Linked DNA regions of Drosophila melanogaster. The protein of the gene in region 3 interacts with the protein of the main gene of each other region in a biochemical or structural test. Each region holds a gene or a part of one and is shown on either strand. Other genes may lie near its edges.

The links. Proteins that work in one complex are often made in the same cells at the same time.
Region 1: the proteins of Acn (region 3) and RnpS1 are reported together in a solved structure, tested with the Drosophila melanogaster proteins (one study listed by BioGRID).
Region 2: the proteins of Acn (region 3) and Bin1 are reported together in a solved structure, tested with the Drosophila melanogaster proteins (one study listed by BioGRID).

Annotation. Positions count from the first base shown.
Region 1 is NT_033777.3:9,550,159-9,554,256, forward strand, and holds RnpS1 (RNA-binding protein S1), read left to right. Parts: upstream 1-1,875; 5' UTR 1,876-2,024; coding exon 2,025-2,026; intron 2,027-2,102; coding exon 2,103-2,264; intron 2,265-2,532; coding exon 2,533-3,493; 3' UTR 3,494-3,589; downstream 3,590-4,098. Other genes in the region: CG9386 (uncharacterized protein), read right to left, coding at 3,605-4,098.
Region 2 is NT_033777.3:16,185,647-16,191,320, reverse strand, and holds Bin1 (bicoid interacting protein 1), read left to right. Parts: upstream 1-1,756; 5' UTR 1,757-2,118; exon of another isoform or gene 2,119-4,214; 5' UTR 4,215-4,543; coding exon 4,544-4,609; intron 4,610-4,682; coding exon 4,683-5,069; 3' UTR 5,070-5,165; downstream 5,166-5,674. Other genes in the region: CG8927 (uncharacterized protein), read right to left, coding at 5,207-5,432, 5,495-5,674. UniProt on the Drosophila melanogaster protein: Involved in the tethering of the SIN3 complex to core histone proteins. Interacts with bicoid (bcd) to repress transcription of bicoid target genes in the anterior tip of the embryo; a process known as retraction.
Region 3 is NT_033779.5:19,043,617-19,049,317, reverse strand, and holds Acn (acinus), read right to left. Parts: upstream 3,964-5,701; 5' UTR 3,752-3,963; coding exon 2,271-3,751; intron 2,167-2,270; coding exon 1,956-2,166; intron 1,899-1,955; coding exon 1,664-1,898; intron 1,603-1,663; coding exon 1,493-1,602; intron 1,405-1,492; coding exon 1,222-1,404; 3' UTR 501-1,221; downstream 1-500. Other genes in the region: CG10470 (uncharacterized protein), read right to left, coding at 1-31, 83-143; Ttc19 (tetratricopeptide repeat domain 19), read left to right, coding at 4,415-4,948, 5,001-5,164, 5,235-5,382, 5,435-5,698.

The sequences.
Region 1 (4,098 bases), on a different chromosome or scaffold from region 3:
TGTTGAAGTGGAGTAAAGTTTCTTCTAAGAAGAAGGTTAGTGTTGCTTAAAACAGACATTTAAGTAGAAATATTATATATATTATATAATATTATATATATTATATAATGGAATTCTATAATTTGTACCCCAAAGATATTCTCCGCAATTATATAGTGATATATTCTTAGCATAAGAAGTTCTTTTTCTTTTCATAACATAAATTTCGATGCTTTTAAAATGGAAGCACTAAGATTTTGGAAGCACCCTCTTCGTATAACGACTGTGTCACGGCATAAAACCCCTCTTTGATCAGGGTATTTGTGGTAAATATTATTATAAAGATAAGATAAGTGCATTTCTAAACATAGATTATAAGACTTAATGCAGCGATAACATATACTTATGTATGTATGTATGTATATAAAGAGCGACCTCTTCGGTGCTCTCCTTCAACATTGTAAATAGACTACATTTCCGTAATTTAACTATTATTTTGACCACAAATGTGTGTGCGCGTTCTTCTATGCATACTTGGGCAGGGTCGGTGTTCGAGTTGGGGTCACACTACGCCCTCTCAAAATTAAAACAATAAATTATAAAAAATATACGCATATACACACAAGGAAGCAGGCATCAAAATATTCGCTTTTTCCATGGAGTCCGGACCCCAACACACATACACACTCACACCGATGCACAAAGAAACCGAGAGAGGGAGAGCAGAGAGCGGCACTGAGAGCACGTGAGAGGACCCACCTACTGTGCATACATGTGTCTGTTGGCAGCTCCTATTGTTGTTGCTATTGCGTAGTCATGACAGTCAACTTCATCGAATGCTCTTTTTCGCTTTTCTTAGTTTCGTTTTCTTTACACACATTGATTATATGAATATATGGATATGTATACCAACGAAACTCTTGTTGGCTAGCTGGTTTTTGGCAATTACGCTGCGCTGTGGCGTTTCAAAACACGATGATGGGGCTAAAAAAATGTGCCTTTGAGGTATAGACACTGGTTAATTTGCATTGACTGCTGCCACAACATAACTGCACTTTGCACTCACACACACACTAAGATATGTTTTTCAACGCAAAGCATTCGGGGCGGGGTTTTAATATTGCTATTGAGCTACAGGCAGAGTAATCCGAAATATTAAGAATAATAATACTACACACCAGACGCGGAGCTCCCGACTCGACGGCAGACAAAGACGCAGTGTGGTAAAATGTGCCCAGACCAGACGGGGCGCTCCTCTCTCTCACACTCTCTTTCTCTCTCTCGTTTCCGCTGCGAGTGTAGATATATGGATGGAAAATCGAAACTCTGTGGCTGTGGCCAGCCCCCGCGGCCCCCTTTTGCTATCTCGCTTGCTCGCATGGACAAAATCAACACAAGTTCACACACATACAGGCACACGGATGTGAACTCACAATGACAACCACTTCGTCACCAGCAGATAAAAAAGTGCTGGCCTTAAATCAATTGCGTTTTATGTAATTCCACTACATTCGTACGTTACGAAAACAAGCACTATTCATATTACACGGTATACATTATTACTTCCTATCGAGTCCAAATTGCTAGGCAGGAAAGGTCTTAAATTTTTACGCTTTATGGGAGTTTACCTTGGGTTCGACCTGACAAAGAGTGTGGCCGCGGCGAGACTGTGAGAAATTACCAAGTGGTGTCTGTTATCTTAATCCCAAATACTCTAGAAACATTTGTATACTAGAATTTGAGATTTAAGCATATTATAAAAGAAATTTATTTATATTTAACTAAAAATGCTTCTTAATATTCGCAAAACAGTTTTTTAATAGCAAAGTAAAGGAACTGGATTTTATTTTAATAAGTGTGTATTCTATTTTTTTGTCATATTTACACGTTCACAAACACGGCCACACTAATCTCCACTGAAAACGCTACTCGCATTTAACTCTAGTTGAGAAAAACAAGATTTATTAATAAAAACATTTTAGCTTGCACCTAAAAGAGTGTGCGGTACTATAAAACTAATCGTTTAACAAATCGGCAATACGAAAATGTAAGTATCTGCACCACATTTTGCTCCCTAAATGGTCTAAAACAGCTCGCTTTTCTCGACAAATAAAAAAAAACAGGGCGCGTGCCCAGAGTCTCGCCGGCGAGGGTGAGAAGGAAAAGGACAACAAGGAGAAGGTCGCCAAAGAGAAGGACGGCAAGGCGACCAGCGGCTCCTCGCGCAGGGACCGCGAACGCAAACGCCGCGGATCGGCGTCCTCCAGCAGCGACTCCAGAAGCAGGTAAATCAGCCGGCAAAGGTCTTTCCCACAAATGGCTGCCATCTGCCAACCGGAATAAGGGTTACTTTTAAAAGGAAGTCCTTCTTCTTCTGTAAAACGTAGCAGATAGTACGGGAAGAAAATAGCCTTCGAGCGAAAAGATTTTGTAAAAATTCACATACCATATATGGTAAAATTTCATCACAGTTAGGAAGTGTTTTACTTTGTACCAGCTTCATTGCCGTTTTCTTGGTTACGAGAAGTAAATAAAACACTTCACTTTTTCCAGCACATCGGACAGCAGCTCTTCGCGGAGCAGTTCCGGGTCATCGCGTTCCAGCTCAAGCAGCTCCAGCGACTCCTCGAGCTCCTCATCATCGTCGTCCAGCGATTCGGATCGCAGCGAGAAGAACCGAAGACGTGGCGGCGGCGCTGCTGGCAAAGACAAAGACAAGGATAAGCCCAGCGCCCGATCACGTTCCCGCTCTCGCACCCGTTCCCCCAGGCGTGTCTCCAAATCTCCAAGACCGGGCAGCAAGGCGCGAAAAGAGCCGGAGCGAGATCGCGATCGTCGTAGTCGGTCGAGGGATCGTGCCCGCCGTGCTGGATCCAACGATAGGGCAGCCGCCGATAGCAATAATGTTAAGCGGGAGCGTTCTCGCTCAGCCAGTCGTTCACGATCGCCACGCCGTCGTGGTCGCGGCTCCGTTGAGAGGACGCCGCCACCGAAGCGAAGGGAGCGCTCCCGTTCGCGGACTCGCTCGCCTTCGCCCAAACAGGTGCGCATTCATGTCGGTCGGCTTACCCGCAACGTTACCAAGGACCATGTGTTCGAGATATTTAGCAGCTTTGGGGATGTGAAGAATGTGGAGTTTCCCGTAGATCGTTTTCATCCTAACTTCGGACGCGGCGTGGCGTTTGTGGAATATGCCACACCCGAGGATTGTGAGTCGGCCATGAAGCATATGGATGGCGGGCAGATAGATGGCCAGGAGATTACGGTATCCCCGGTTGTCTTAGTAAAACAGAGGCCGCCCATGCGTCGTCCTTCGCCACCGATGCGCCGTCCGCAAAACAACCGCTGGCGATCCCCACCCCAGTTCAATAGGTTCAACAATCGTGGAGGAGGTGGTGGCGGCGGCGGCGGACGTCGTCAGTCACCCATGAGGAACCGGCGTTCACCACGGCGTCGCTCCCGCTCCCCCATTCGTCGTCGACGCCGCAGCAATAGCAGTGACAGCTCTCGTTAGAGGACACTGATCGACTCCTAGTTTCTACAATTGACACGATTATTGCACTTTTCTTTATATTATAATCCAAATAATAAAGGTGAGCAAATACCACACACATAGAGAGTTAGCTTAGTGTATAAACGAGCACTCAGCATCATCGAGAGGACATCCCAGCGGATGATGAAGCTTGAAAAAGCAGCTACGTTTCTTGATGGTCAAATGGGATTTGGGGAGAGTAGCCGTTGGTTTAGGGGTTCTTATTCCTATGAGATCACCACCGCAGAATTCGAAAACTTCGTGTTTATTGCGCAGCAATGTTTTGATGCCGCCGCACTCGGATTTAATGCCACTCAGCTCCTCCTTGGTGAGAGCCTGGGCAATCTCTCTCATGGGCAGACGACCAGACCATTTATCTTCGTTAGAGTCCAGAATCAGTTTGAAGATCTTAAACACTAGACCATCAATTATGGTCTTATCCACCTGCGTGCAATTTCGAACGCTCTCCTCCTTCTCGCGCAGCTTAATTTTGGCATCTCCGGTCTTATACTTTCTTAGCTCTTCTTGGACAAAGTACTCCAGATCTTCAATAGCCTTTGAGGCTTTTCTCTTAATTCCCAGCAGAG
Region 2 (5,674 bases), on a different chromosome or scaffold from region 3:
TAGGTTTCTGTGTGCGCCCGTCTTGTCAGCGCTTTGACATGAAAATAGTTTGGGCCAACTTGGCTATGCAAAAGCGATTTCTATTAGGAGCCGCCATCGCCGACATGTGCTGCCGAAATTCGGTGATTTGGGTAGGATGAAGAGATTACCAAAAGTTTACAGTGGTTCTTGCTTCCAAGCAAGGAAGGAATTAAAATCCTGTTCAGCAAATATTCCAATAAATCGCTTTTAAGCAAGTGTTATCAGCAGTTCAATGTTGAGTTCAACCGGTTGAAACCCGCTGGTTATCGTAAATCATGGCCACGGTAGTTCCCTCGATTCGCTTCTTATCGCGACGACAGTCCCCACTGACGCACCAAATGGACGTATTTAGACTCCATAGATAACATTTGGCTATTGTTACTATGGTTAATTGAGACATTTACAACTCAAGTATACCTCAAGTCAAGCAGAACATACGTATGCGCGCATATACAGTCGAATGGAATCGACGTCGCTGCCAATCAGGCCGATGTGTTAAGTGAGTTAGGGGCACTTTTGCTTTTGGGACGTGACGTCAGTGCAAACTGCAGCTAGATCCAGTCAAGCCAATTGACGAAAGAGCCGACGGCAGCGGTCTGTACGTATTCAATTCATCAATTGGCAAAACCCTGGCAAAAAGGCAAGAAGATGGAAAACAAAACAAAAGCGAACGCAAACAGAAATAGCATAAAATGGACAACAGACGCGACAACACAGGCACCAATCGTAGGGGCAAAAATTATGAGTTGCTTTTATTTTAAAATCGTTTCATTTATTTTGCGTCAGCAGCGCCTCTCAATGAGGAAACGCTGCGTATACATAATTTTCTGGCCACATATACGCACTCCCATATCTTTCTCCCATCGATTCAGTGGTCGTTCGCAATCAAAGGCACAGACGAGTGATCTTTCCTTGGCCTTTTGCAGTCTCTTAAAGACGGGTTGTTTTCGAGTGTTTTTTGCAGCAGAATGGTAATCAGAATGCTCTCGGCAATTCTTTATTGAACGACCGTTCAATAAATTTCACAAAAGGAAATGTTATCAGCGGGTATTCTTAAAATAACTCAATCTTTAACAACTTATATTTGGAATCAATCACATCAACCCGTAATCAGATAACTGATAACATTTTAGAGGAAATAGTTTGTACCGGCACATTAACAAGTTAATGGTTTTGTTATTCGCCTTATCGTGAAATACTGTAAATAAATTTTTTAATTGCTTTTCGAAAGTAGTTGTTTACAACTTAATTTATCAGAGTGTTTTTGTTCTCCGCTCAGAATTAATCACGAAGTGGGGTGGTAATCCAGATTAACATAAGAAAAAAACAATTTTAAAATATAATATTAAGTCGCCATTATGCATGAGTAACAACTAACAAATTGCTATAAATAATAGGAGATAATCTTGAATACTGCTAGAAAGTGTAATACAATGTAAGGCAATTAAATGTGCAATAAAATCAATGTTATTATCAGCATGATTGTATATGTCGGAGCGCGACTCTTCGCATTCCAGAAATTCCTTCTGTGATTTCATATTCTGATGAAATTGTAATATTGCGGTAAAATTCTGTCGAGCGCTGCGGCAGAGGCACGAACAGCCTCTGCAGCTGAGTGAGGTCCGATCGAGTGGTCATAAATAGTGTGTTAGAGAGAGATGACAATGTGGCACACGCCAGTGTGTATAGCCATTAGAGAATATGATGAAGAAGGGACATGTAAGAAGATCCCTTCAGTGAAGTTTGACTGCTGACGTCGATCGGAACTTGCTGCGCTGACGTACAAAATCGCGAAGTGAATAAATAATATGGATGAGACTCCTGTTTCGCCGACATATACAATAGTGCTCAAGACCCTAATGGAATTATACGTTAATAACCAGCCACATTTCTTAGATATTTCTAATATGAGCCATCTGCTGCAGGTTCTTTCCAATATCTAATTCTAGATCTTCTTCGAATACGACCTTTTTGGCCATGAAACGATGATTTGCCACTTCATTCACAAGCATTAATTTGTCATGATTCTCTTAAGCGTGCACTTTATCTGAAAGTCTGAACAGCTGGCTGCGAAATGGATTCCCCGGATTGGAAATGGCAAGTAAATCTGTCCTCGCTACAAACAAGTGGGCACCACTGGGCATTCGGGGAATAGGGATATGGGTAGGAATGGGGATATATTGTGGCATTGGCGAAAGGTCGCTATGCAAAGCCAAGGTCGAGACTTACACCCAGGACATTGTGTTGTGCGGCTGGCAGTAGAAACGCCCACGCACACGCCCCTGTCAACTGGCCGGGTAAAAAATAGAATCAAATACATATGTATACAGAACAGGAGTTGAAGCAAAGCTCGCATTTTATTTGCATTTGTGAATTTATTGCTTTCGGTTACGTCTGCTTCGCCTTGCCACTTTTCCAAACTCGTTGTGCTGCTGCTTGGGGAATTTTCGGAAATTCGAAGTGATTGGGTTTGGAGCAGTAGCCAAGGGCTTCTACTGTTGCTCAAAGCAATTAATATTTGAGAAAAAATAACGAAAACGAAGTAAGGCGGCAGCAACAAAGCGACCGCAACAGTGGCAACAAATCGCCCCACACCGCACGTCTTCAGTTTACAACCAAGGACTTGGCACGTTTAAAATTCAGCCAGCAGCCGCAGCAACGAACACGGACAGTGGGCGGAATTTAATTTCGAAAAACATATTACTTTATTGTTCACATCTTTACCCACCTTCCGATTCGAGTACATACGATTCCACTGAAGCCACTGAAGACTTACTTCACTTAAAGTACATTTTCTTCAACTTCGTGGGGTCTTTCTAGAACTTAAGACTTATTCTAACTTAAAAAGACTATAAAGTTTTTAAACATTCCGTTGTTTTGTCAAATTTGAATAATTTACGAATGTGAATTTGTCGCAGAAGTATTGCTGAGTATTATCTTTATAAATTTTTCATTTTTTAAAGTGACTAAAGAAACAGCTTTAATGCGTCTTACTTCATATTGGTCATCCCGACCACAGTGCACTGGTTACCAAAGTATGCGATAACAATAACATCGTCCACTATGTGGTCGTTGCTGGGGTTACGGGCAGTCAGTCACGGTCACGGCTGCAACCCCTCCGCTCCGGCCAAAACGAGTCCACAGAACAATGGCCAAGGACGAAGGGGGGGGAGGGGGGATTCAATAACAACAGCAGGAACAACAAACATTCTGCTCCCACGCAAGAGCAGCAGGAACTGTGGCAAAAACAGCTGCTGCAGGATCAACGAGGTGGGAGTGGATTCGAGGACTTTAAAACACGAGCCAACTAAAAATATTCAGACACGCCGAAGCGAAAATACCCTTTAGCAGGGGGTTAATTCAAGTGGGGTATTTTCCCCTTCTAGTGTTTTTCTTTTACCAGGGTAATCACAGATTCTGTTTCTGTGCACTTAAACGGGGTTTATTCCGTTTCTAAAAATATCAAATGTCTGGATTGACTTATTTCTTGGTATTTGACTAAAAATAAAAACAAATATGCAGCTTTTGGGAAACTGATTCCTTGTTGACACAATAGAAACCACCATATGACCACACCTTCCACGCTACTGCAATAACTAGAACATTTAGAACAACAAACAGAATGGCACTATTATCGGCAAATGATGGCGCATGCATAAAAATGAGGAGATCGAAAGTGGGTGGCTGGGGATGGGATAACCTTGTACTTCTTGAGATAAAAACAGTTCAGTATTTAGCAGCGGCTTATTCCTGAATGTTTATAAACAAATCGAGCGAGAGAGCGATGCATAAATGAAATATGAGGGGGGGTGAAGGGTGGTTGCAAAGAGGGTGACTTTTCGCAGACGCTGCGGCACCAACACAAGCAAAGCAACGGCAACAATTTGCACGTAAAACTCAGCTGCTGCTGCTGCTGCTGTTGCCGTTACATAAGAAACTCTTGCAAAAAGTGCAAATCTCAATTCGGTATGCAAATGGACCGCTGCCACAATGTACTCACCGTTTTTAGAAACTATTCAGTGGCCAAATTGCGATTCTGCTTTTATGCGCCAATAACAAACGGCTCTTCTCCACCGTTGTTGTTGCTCTCCTCCTTGTTGTTGTGGTCGCAGCTACTGCTTAGCGAAGCAGTTGTTATTGTTGTTGCGGCAACAGTAATTTGCAAGTGCACCGCTATTGTTGAATGTTTTTAGACGATTGTCATGCCAGTGGAAGCTTCCAGTCTGCGTCATTCGCGGAGACGCGTAGTTTCACGTTCGACGACACAACCGCTCACAGCGAATTTTGTTTTCGGACTAGAGCTGAGAAACGGCGAATTTTGGTGCTTCTGGAAACATCGATTAAACTAAAACCCGATAAGTATGCGACAAGCGGTCACACTCGGCGATGTGCGATAGGATTGCTGCATTCGATTATATAGTTATCGAAAAGAGCAAAGAGAAGCCGGAATATACGGCATTAAAAGTGCATTTTGTATTAAAATTAAGAAAATTAGTAACGATATACCGCAGAATAGGGAGACATGGCCAACGTGGAATCTATGATTGTGGAGGAAAAGACGCAGGTCAAGCAGATTGACCGCGAGAAGGTTTGTTTGTGACCCCGGTCATGTTTACTTCGCGTTTGCTCTAGATGTGTTAATAAGTTTATGTATTTTCCAGACCTGTCCTATGCTGCTCCGTGTCTTCTGCTCTACGGGACGACACCACTCCGTGTCGGAGTATATGTTCGGCAACGTGCCCACCAACGAGCTTCAGATTTACACCTGGCAAGACGCCACCCTGCACGAACTGACCTCTCTGGTGCGAGACGTCAATCCGGACACCCGGAAGAAGGGCACCTACTTTGACTTTGCTGTCGTGTACCCCAACTTCCGGAGTAATCACTTCCAGATGCGCGAAATCGGAGTGACCTGCACGGGTCAAAAAGGAATCGATGATAATAAGACACTTGCTCAGGCCAAATTCAGCATTGGAGACTTTCTGGACATCTCGATTACTCCGCCCAACCGACTGCCGCCAACCGCCAGGCGCCAGCGTCCGTACTGATTCTTCACTTTCATCTATTCTAATCATTTTAATCTTTCACTTGACACTCAATGGAGTATGAACATAATTATAAGTGGAATACAAGTAAGACGAACTACGAGCTGCTTGACTTAAGGGACTATATGTTGTGGGGAGTATCAGTTCCTGTAAAAGCCGTTCGGGCGCTTCGACTTCTTCTTGCCCAACTGCGTCATGTCGATCTCCAGACCATTGGGCAGCACGGCGCGATTCTCTTCGTAGTTGACGAACCCGTTCTCTTGTAGCTCTTCCTCGTTGTTGCGGTTGTTAGGATCGCACTTGATTCCAGTCTCATAGTGGTACTCACGTTTGTTGCCATCTGGATCAACGTAGCCATAGGTTCCCCTGGTGAACGAGAAGTTTGGGTAAGTGGGAGAAAGAGGTTGGATTCAATCTGTTTTACTCACTTGGTGATGCAATCGGTGCCGATCAGCTCCTCCTTGAAAGATCCGTCGTCGTTCTCATAGCCCCATGTGATGCTTCCGTCCTCGTTTTCCTCACGCCACTTGCGAATGGTCTGGGAAACGGGCTGACGGCGACGCTGCTGCTGCTGGTCAACGTGATCGTCCTGTAGCTGATTTTGATCA
Region 3 (5,701 bases):
TCCGTCCGGTAAACCATCACCCATGTAAGACCTAGGCAAACAAATATGTAGGGTTAACTAAATTAACTGGCGTTTTACTTACCTTCGCCCAGGAAGGCGGTGCAAACCGATATAAAAACAATTAATATTGTGTCGGACCACATTTTTTCACTAAATTAATGTTAATACAAATTAAAACTCATCGATAGCACTATTGACATAAATCATTAAGCGGCTCCGATAGCTTATTAACATGGACTATCGATTAAAACGAACTTATTGTTGGGGGTATTCTGGTACTTTAACGGACAACTTCATTTATTCTTTTTTAAGTTTAATCAATAAATTAGACTCGCGATTATTAATAAAAGCAGTGTTTTTACTAAAAATTGATAAGGAAAAGTAAATAAATGGCAAAAAGTTCATACTTTATAAATCTGACCTTATATATAAATTAAAGAGTATTAAAATTATAATAATATGCTCTAAATACCATGATTCTTACGAATCAAAAACATTTTCTATAATTTTGAGGAATTACATTCTTTTCTTTTTCTGTTCGAATAAGTCGTGCGATAAGCATATTTCTCAGACATTTAAAACACATTTTTGGGTTTTGGCATTGTCACAAGCTTGCCGACTGATGTTAAATTGTATTTCTAAGTTCATTAAAATTTTAAGAAATATTTGATTTTACAATATTTTAATCAATTATTTTATGTTTGTTTATTGAATAGATATAAGCATGGTAACTTGCTGCAGTAGTTTCAAGAGTCCGATGGTAAGTTTCCATGGCGTTGATGCTGATCTGATGCCGGCGCATTTCTGGTTGCTGTGGTTTCGTTTTGGGGTGAGGTGACGTTAGGCGCTGTAAAATGCTACATTTGAGGAAAGAAATCAAATCAGGTTATATATATATATATGGAAATATATATGCTATATATATATGGAACAACAACAATGAGAAAAATAACGAAGAAAAGAGAGTTTGAAATCTCAAAATCAGAATGTGGATGAGACGTTGGCGAAAGTATTCAATTTGAAGTCGGTTCAGTTCAAGTTGAATATTACAAACGTCGGCCTAATTGGGAACGCAAAACGCTCGAAAGAAAAGAATTGAAATTATTCGGGTGGTGATGAGACCCTGCTGAAGTTTTAGTTGCTGTTTCTTGAAGTTTTTTTTTATATGTTGATTTAGTTTTTGAGATATCAACATTTATTTGCTCAATCTCAAGCCTCCGCCTAGTAACGTCTTCGCTCCCGCTCGCGACTGCGAGATCGTCGCCGTTCGTTGGAACGATTGCGACGCGTCTCGCGCTGGCGGTCACGATCCTTCTCCCGCTCTTTCTGGCGCTCCTCCCGTTCCTTAATACGCAGCTTGTGCTCCTCAATGCGTTTCTGACGGAATGCCTCCTTTTCTGCGATCTGAAAGCCGGAAGAAATTTTATTGTTCAGGCGGACTTGGTCTAGAAGTGATTCTCGTTGATTGGAACTATTTATCTCAGCAACTTACCGCTTCCGGCGTAAGTGGCAGCCAGTATATGCAAGGTGTTCCCTTGGTTTTTCGAAATAGATCATCTAGTAGTCTGATAGGCGGTTCATTCTCCTTCTTAGTTTTGGACGCTATTTAAACGGGGTGTTTTTGAATTTCTCATGACAGGAAAATGTATCCCACGGGCTTTACCTGGCGATCCACTGCGGCTCCTTGCATGTGCATTGCGATCAAGTCGCTCCCGCTCCCGATCGCGTCCTCGCCCCTCTCTGTCCCTAGAACGCTTTCGTTCCTGTCCGGCTCGCTCCGCATCCCTAGACCTCGAGTCCAGTCGATCCTTGCTGTCCCGACGCCTGTCGTTGCTGTGTTTGTCGTGGTCGCTTGGTTCCTTTTTGCCAACATCCCATTCGCGTACAGGTCGCGCAGGCTGAAGGAAAAAGACAAGTTAGCTCCGCATTTCTATGCTGTGATAATAATCCATTACTTTTTTGTCAGACGGTTCCAACCGGGACCAAGCGTTGCCCGACTGCTGGTTATCTCTGGTGTTTTCCTGCCCGTACCTCGGAGCCTCGTCCTTCGTTGAAAGTATTGCCCGATCCATATCAGTGCGACTGCCAAAATCTACATTCAAACATTTGGGATTTGACACTGGCCAGCGAACTCCGTGCAGGGCATGTCGGGTTTCGATGGCCTCGCTTAAAGGTTGAAAAGCAAAATAATTGCAAGTGTGAGTTTTTTATAGGCATATTTCACTGACTCCCTGGAGATTAGGTTCTATTTGCGCAACTACAATACTTACTCTTCAGTGGAATAGGCAACATAGCACTTAGACTTGATCCGATCTATCCAGAAACCATCTTCCTCAACGATCTTTCCCGTCCGCGCCAGCAGGCCTTTCAGCTGCAGCACTGTGAAGGGGCGTACCAAATTGGTGATATAGAGCACGTGGCTGGCGCGGTTTCGAGCAGGACTAGGGTCACGGACTATGTGTGGTGCTGCCGTGGAAACTGTGGCTTTGCTCAGGCTGACCTGGGCTGAAACCGTGTCTGCTGCTGCTGGAGGAGCGGCTCCTGCTCCTTCATTATCTGCCGACGCCTCTGCGGTGGTGTCGCAGGTGTTGGCGGTATTGCCCTTGTTATCGCGGTCTTTGCTTGCTTCAGATGGGGGCGCCGGTGAAGCAGATCGCTCTGAATCGCGATCGCTGGTGACCAGGCCTTCCTCCTCTGAGGACGATTCCAGTTGCACATCGCTTAGGGGCACTGGCTGCACCACATCGGCTATAATGTTCTTCAGGGAATCCGTCGAAATGGCAAGCACGGGCGGGGTACGATCCGAAGACTTTTTGTTAGTCAGCCACTTTCGCTTCCGCACCGACCGTTGTTGCTGCAGAACTGGAGCACCGGTTGTGTTGGTTGCGCTGCTGTTTAGACATGGATCGTGCTTGTCGTTCGAAAGATCTGCTGGTTCATCGTGAATTTGTTCTGGGTTTTCGTCTATCTGCTTGTGGTTTTCCTTGTGTTCCTCCTCCTCTGCGGGTTGCTGTTCCTTTATCTGCTCCTTGTGCCTCTTCTTGGTTTCTCTGCGCTCCGCAGGAGCGGAGGCTTCTTCGTCCCTTTCATCGACCTCTTCTGTCTGAATGTCTAATACATCACTAGTCGTTTTTAGATGTTCCTCATCCTTGCTGGAAGGAGAAGGAACCTTTACCTCTTGTTCTGGCTCGCTCTGCTTGGTGTCATCATCAGTGGAAGTGGGGACCTCCTGCTGCGGTTTTAAGTCCTCTTTCTCAACATCATCATCCTTGACTACAGCGGGTTCAGCACAGGATTCATCGTCTTGAGCCTGCTGATCCTCCGTCTTGGCACGGTCCTCGGACTCGCTCTCATTAGCCGCGGGTGGCGCTACAGTCTTTTCCTCCTCGACAGCGTCCTTTTCAACATCCTTTCCATTCTCCGGCTCCTCCTCGGGTATGGTGTCCACCTTCTTGTCGCCGCCCTTGGACTCCGTGCGCTTTCTAGGCGTCGTCCGGCTGCCGCGACTCCTGCGCACTGGCGATGCTCCAGATCCGGCACGTTCTTCACTGGATGCCCGCGCCTCATTGATTTCTTGAGAGGCTGGCGGTACTTTGGGGCATTCGGCCTCATTATTTTGGGCCACGACCGGAGTCTCGACCTCGGTCTTCTCGTTCTCCGACACCTTGCGGGAGCGGCGACTTCTCCGTGCAACTGCCACCGGCACCGGAGCGGGCGACGACGACTTTTTTCGCTCGCTGCGACGTCTCATGGCTGTCCGAAAATCGCTGGAAACTCGCTGCGACGCTGGAAAGATCTGAAATAAAACGTAGGTACAGCCGGCGGACCCACAGCTATTTCATGCACTGCTTTGCGAATTCACTCCTCGTTATATTCTGCACCTTTTCTTGATAAGAAAAATAATTTTACTAGGCGAAAGAGCGTCAATCCGCCATCAATATACAGGGATGCTTTCTCTCGGTCTATCGCCCCGCTGACGGCTATCGATAGTATCGTATGCGATGGGGGAAGGAAGTACCTTATTACGAAAAACTTTATCAAATGTACTTAAATGTTTTTTATTCGAGATTGTTAATAACTCTACTTATCAATTTATTTTTGTTCGCAGATTTAACTTATGAACGAAATGTTAGGTACCAAAGTTGCCGATAAAGTTTTGTTTGACAGTGTCATCTCTAAAAAATTTAAAAACCTTTGTTTACGAAATCTTAACGAAACATAAATATATTTGCGAAAGTATGATAGAGTAGAAATTATTTAAAAGTCTTCTATGTTCTTAATCAAGCGTTACGAAATGTACTTTTAAAACGTCTTTACCGCGCTTTGCAACACTACATACGTGCTATTTCATAATTTTTAATACCATACCTGCAACATTATAGGTTTTAGTTAAATAATTAATAAAGCCCTAAACATGTTAGTGAGAAATATTTGCAAGTTTACGCAAGTTATGGGCAGGTTCCGCGTTGTCGTGAATCCCAGAGATTACTGTCATCTTGCGCCGCTGAAGAGAAGCCGTTATCACCAACGGTCAGAATTCGGATGTCGACCGCTGTGCTCCAATGCTGCGGGCTACGAGGTGTCCTGGGCAGCTCCGCCCGCTTCTGGCTCTTCCGGTGGAATGTTTTGGGCATTTTCCGCTGCTTTCACTCTGAATCTGTTTGGTGGCGCCGACGAAAAAGAGGAAACTCCGGAGGAAAAACTGATCAAGACCATCAAACGATCAATCCTGTGCATTCAGAGGGAACAGTACGACAAGGCCGAGCAAATGCTTCACCTGGCTCTGCGAATGGCGCAGGATATTCAGAGCAAGGACGGCATCACATATGTGTTTGATCTGATGGCCAATTTGGCCATGGAACGCGAGCAGTTTAAGAAGGCGGAGAAGATATTCACGGACGTTATGAAACGGCTTTTTGCCGAGGGTCACACCGAAGAGAGTCCCAAGGTGGGTGACCCACTTAGACACCATAACCAGTTAAGATCTCTTTCATCTTTAGATACTTCACATCAGCTCCAAGATAGCACACATGTCTCAGCTGCAAGGGGATCTGGAAAAGAGCTTTCAAGGGTTCACTTGGACCTTGCAGCAGTTGGCTAAGCTACTGGAGAAAATGCCCGACGACAAGGACATACTGGAGCTGTATGGCTTGACAAAGAATTGGTATTGAAGGTGTTTCCATTGCCGCTAACCAAGCCTTTTTTCAATACTTTTCCTTATGTTTATTTTCCAGGTTCGGGCAGCTGCTGATGAAGCAGGGAAAATACCTGGAGGCTAAAAACCTCTTTAAGGAGGCCTTCGACACGCTCATAAATGTTTATGGTGCCGTTAACGACGCCTCTGTAACCATCCTAAATAACATCAGTGTGGCGTACGTAAACGTAGGTGCGTCTATTCTTCCAAAGTACTTGAAACACATTAGACTAATTACAGCTGGAAAAGTACGCCGAGGCAAGGGAGACCCTTTTGGAGGCCATGGAGCTGACTAAGGAGCTAAAGGATGCCACCCAGGAAGGCATTCTGCAGGCAAATCTGGGTTTGGTGTATCTTCGCGAGGGCCTGATGTCGCAGGCGGAGAACGCTTGCCGACTGGCGTGGAAACTGGGAAAGCAACACCAGAATCCCGATGCCGTAGAGCAGGCCGAGTATTGTCTCAACGAGATAAAGACAACCCTGAATGGAGAGAAGCGCCAGTGAGGA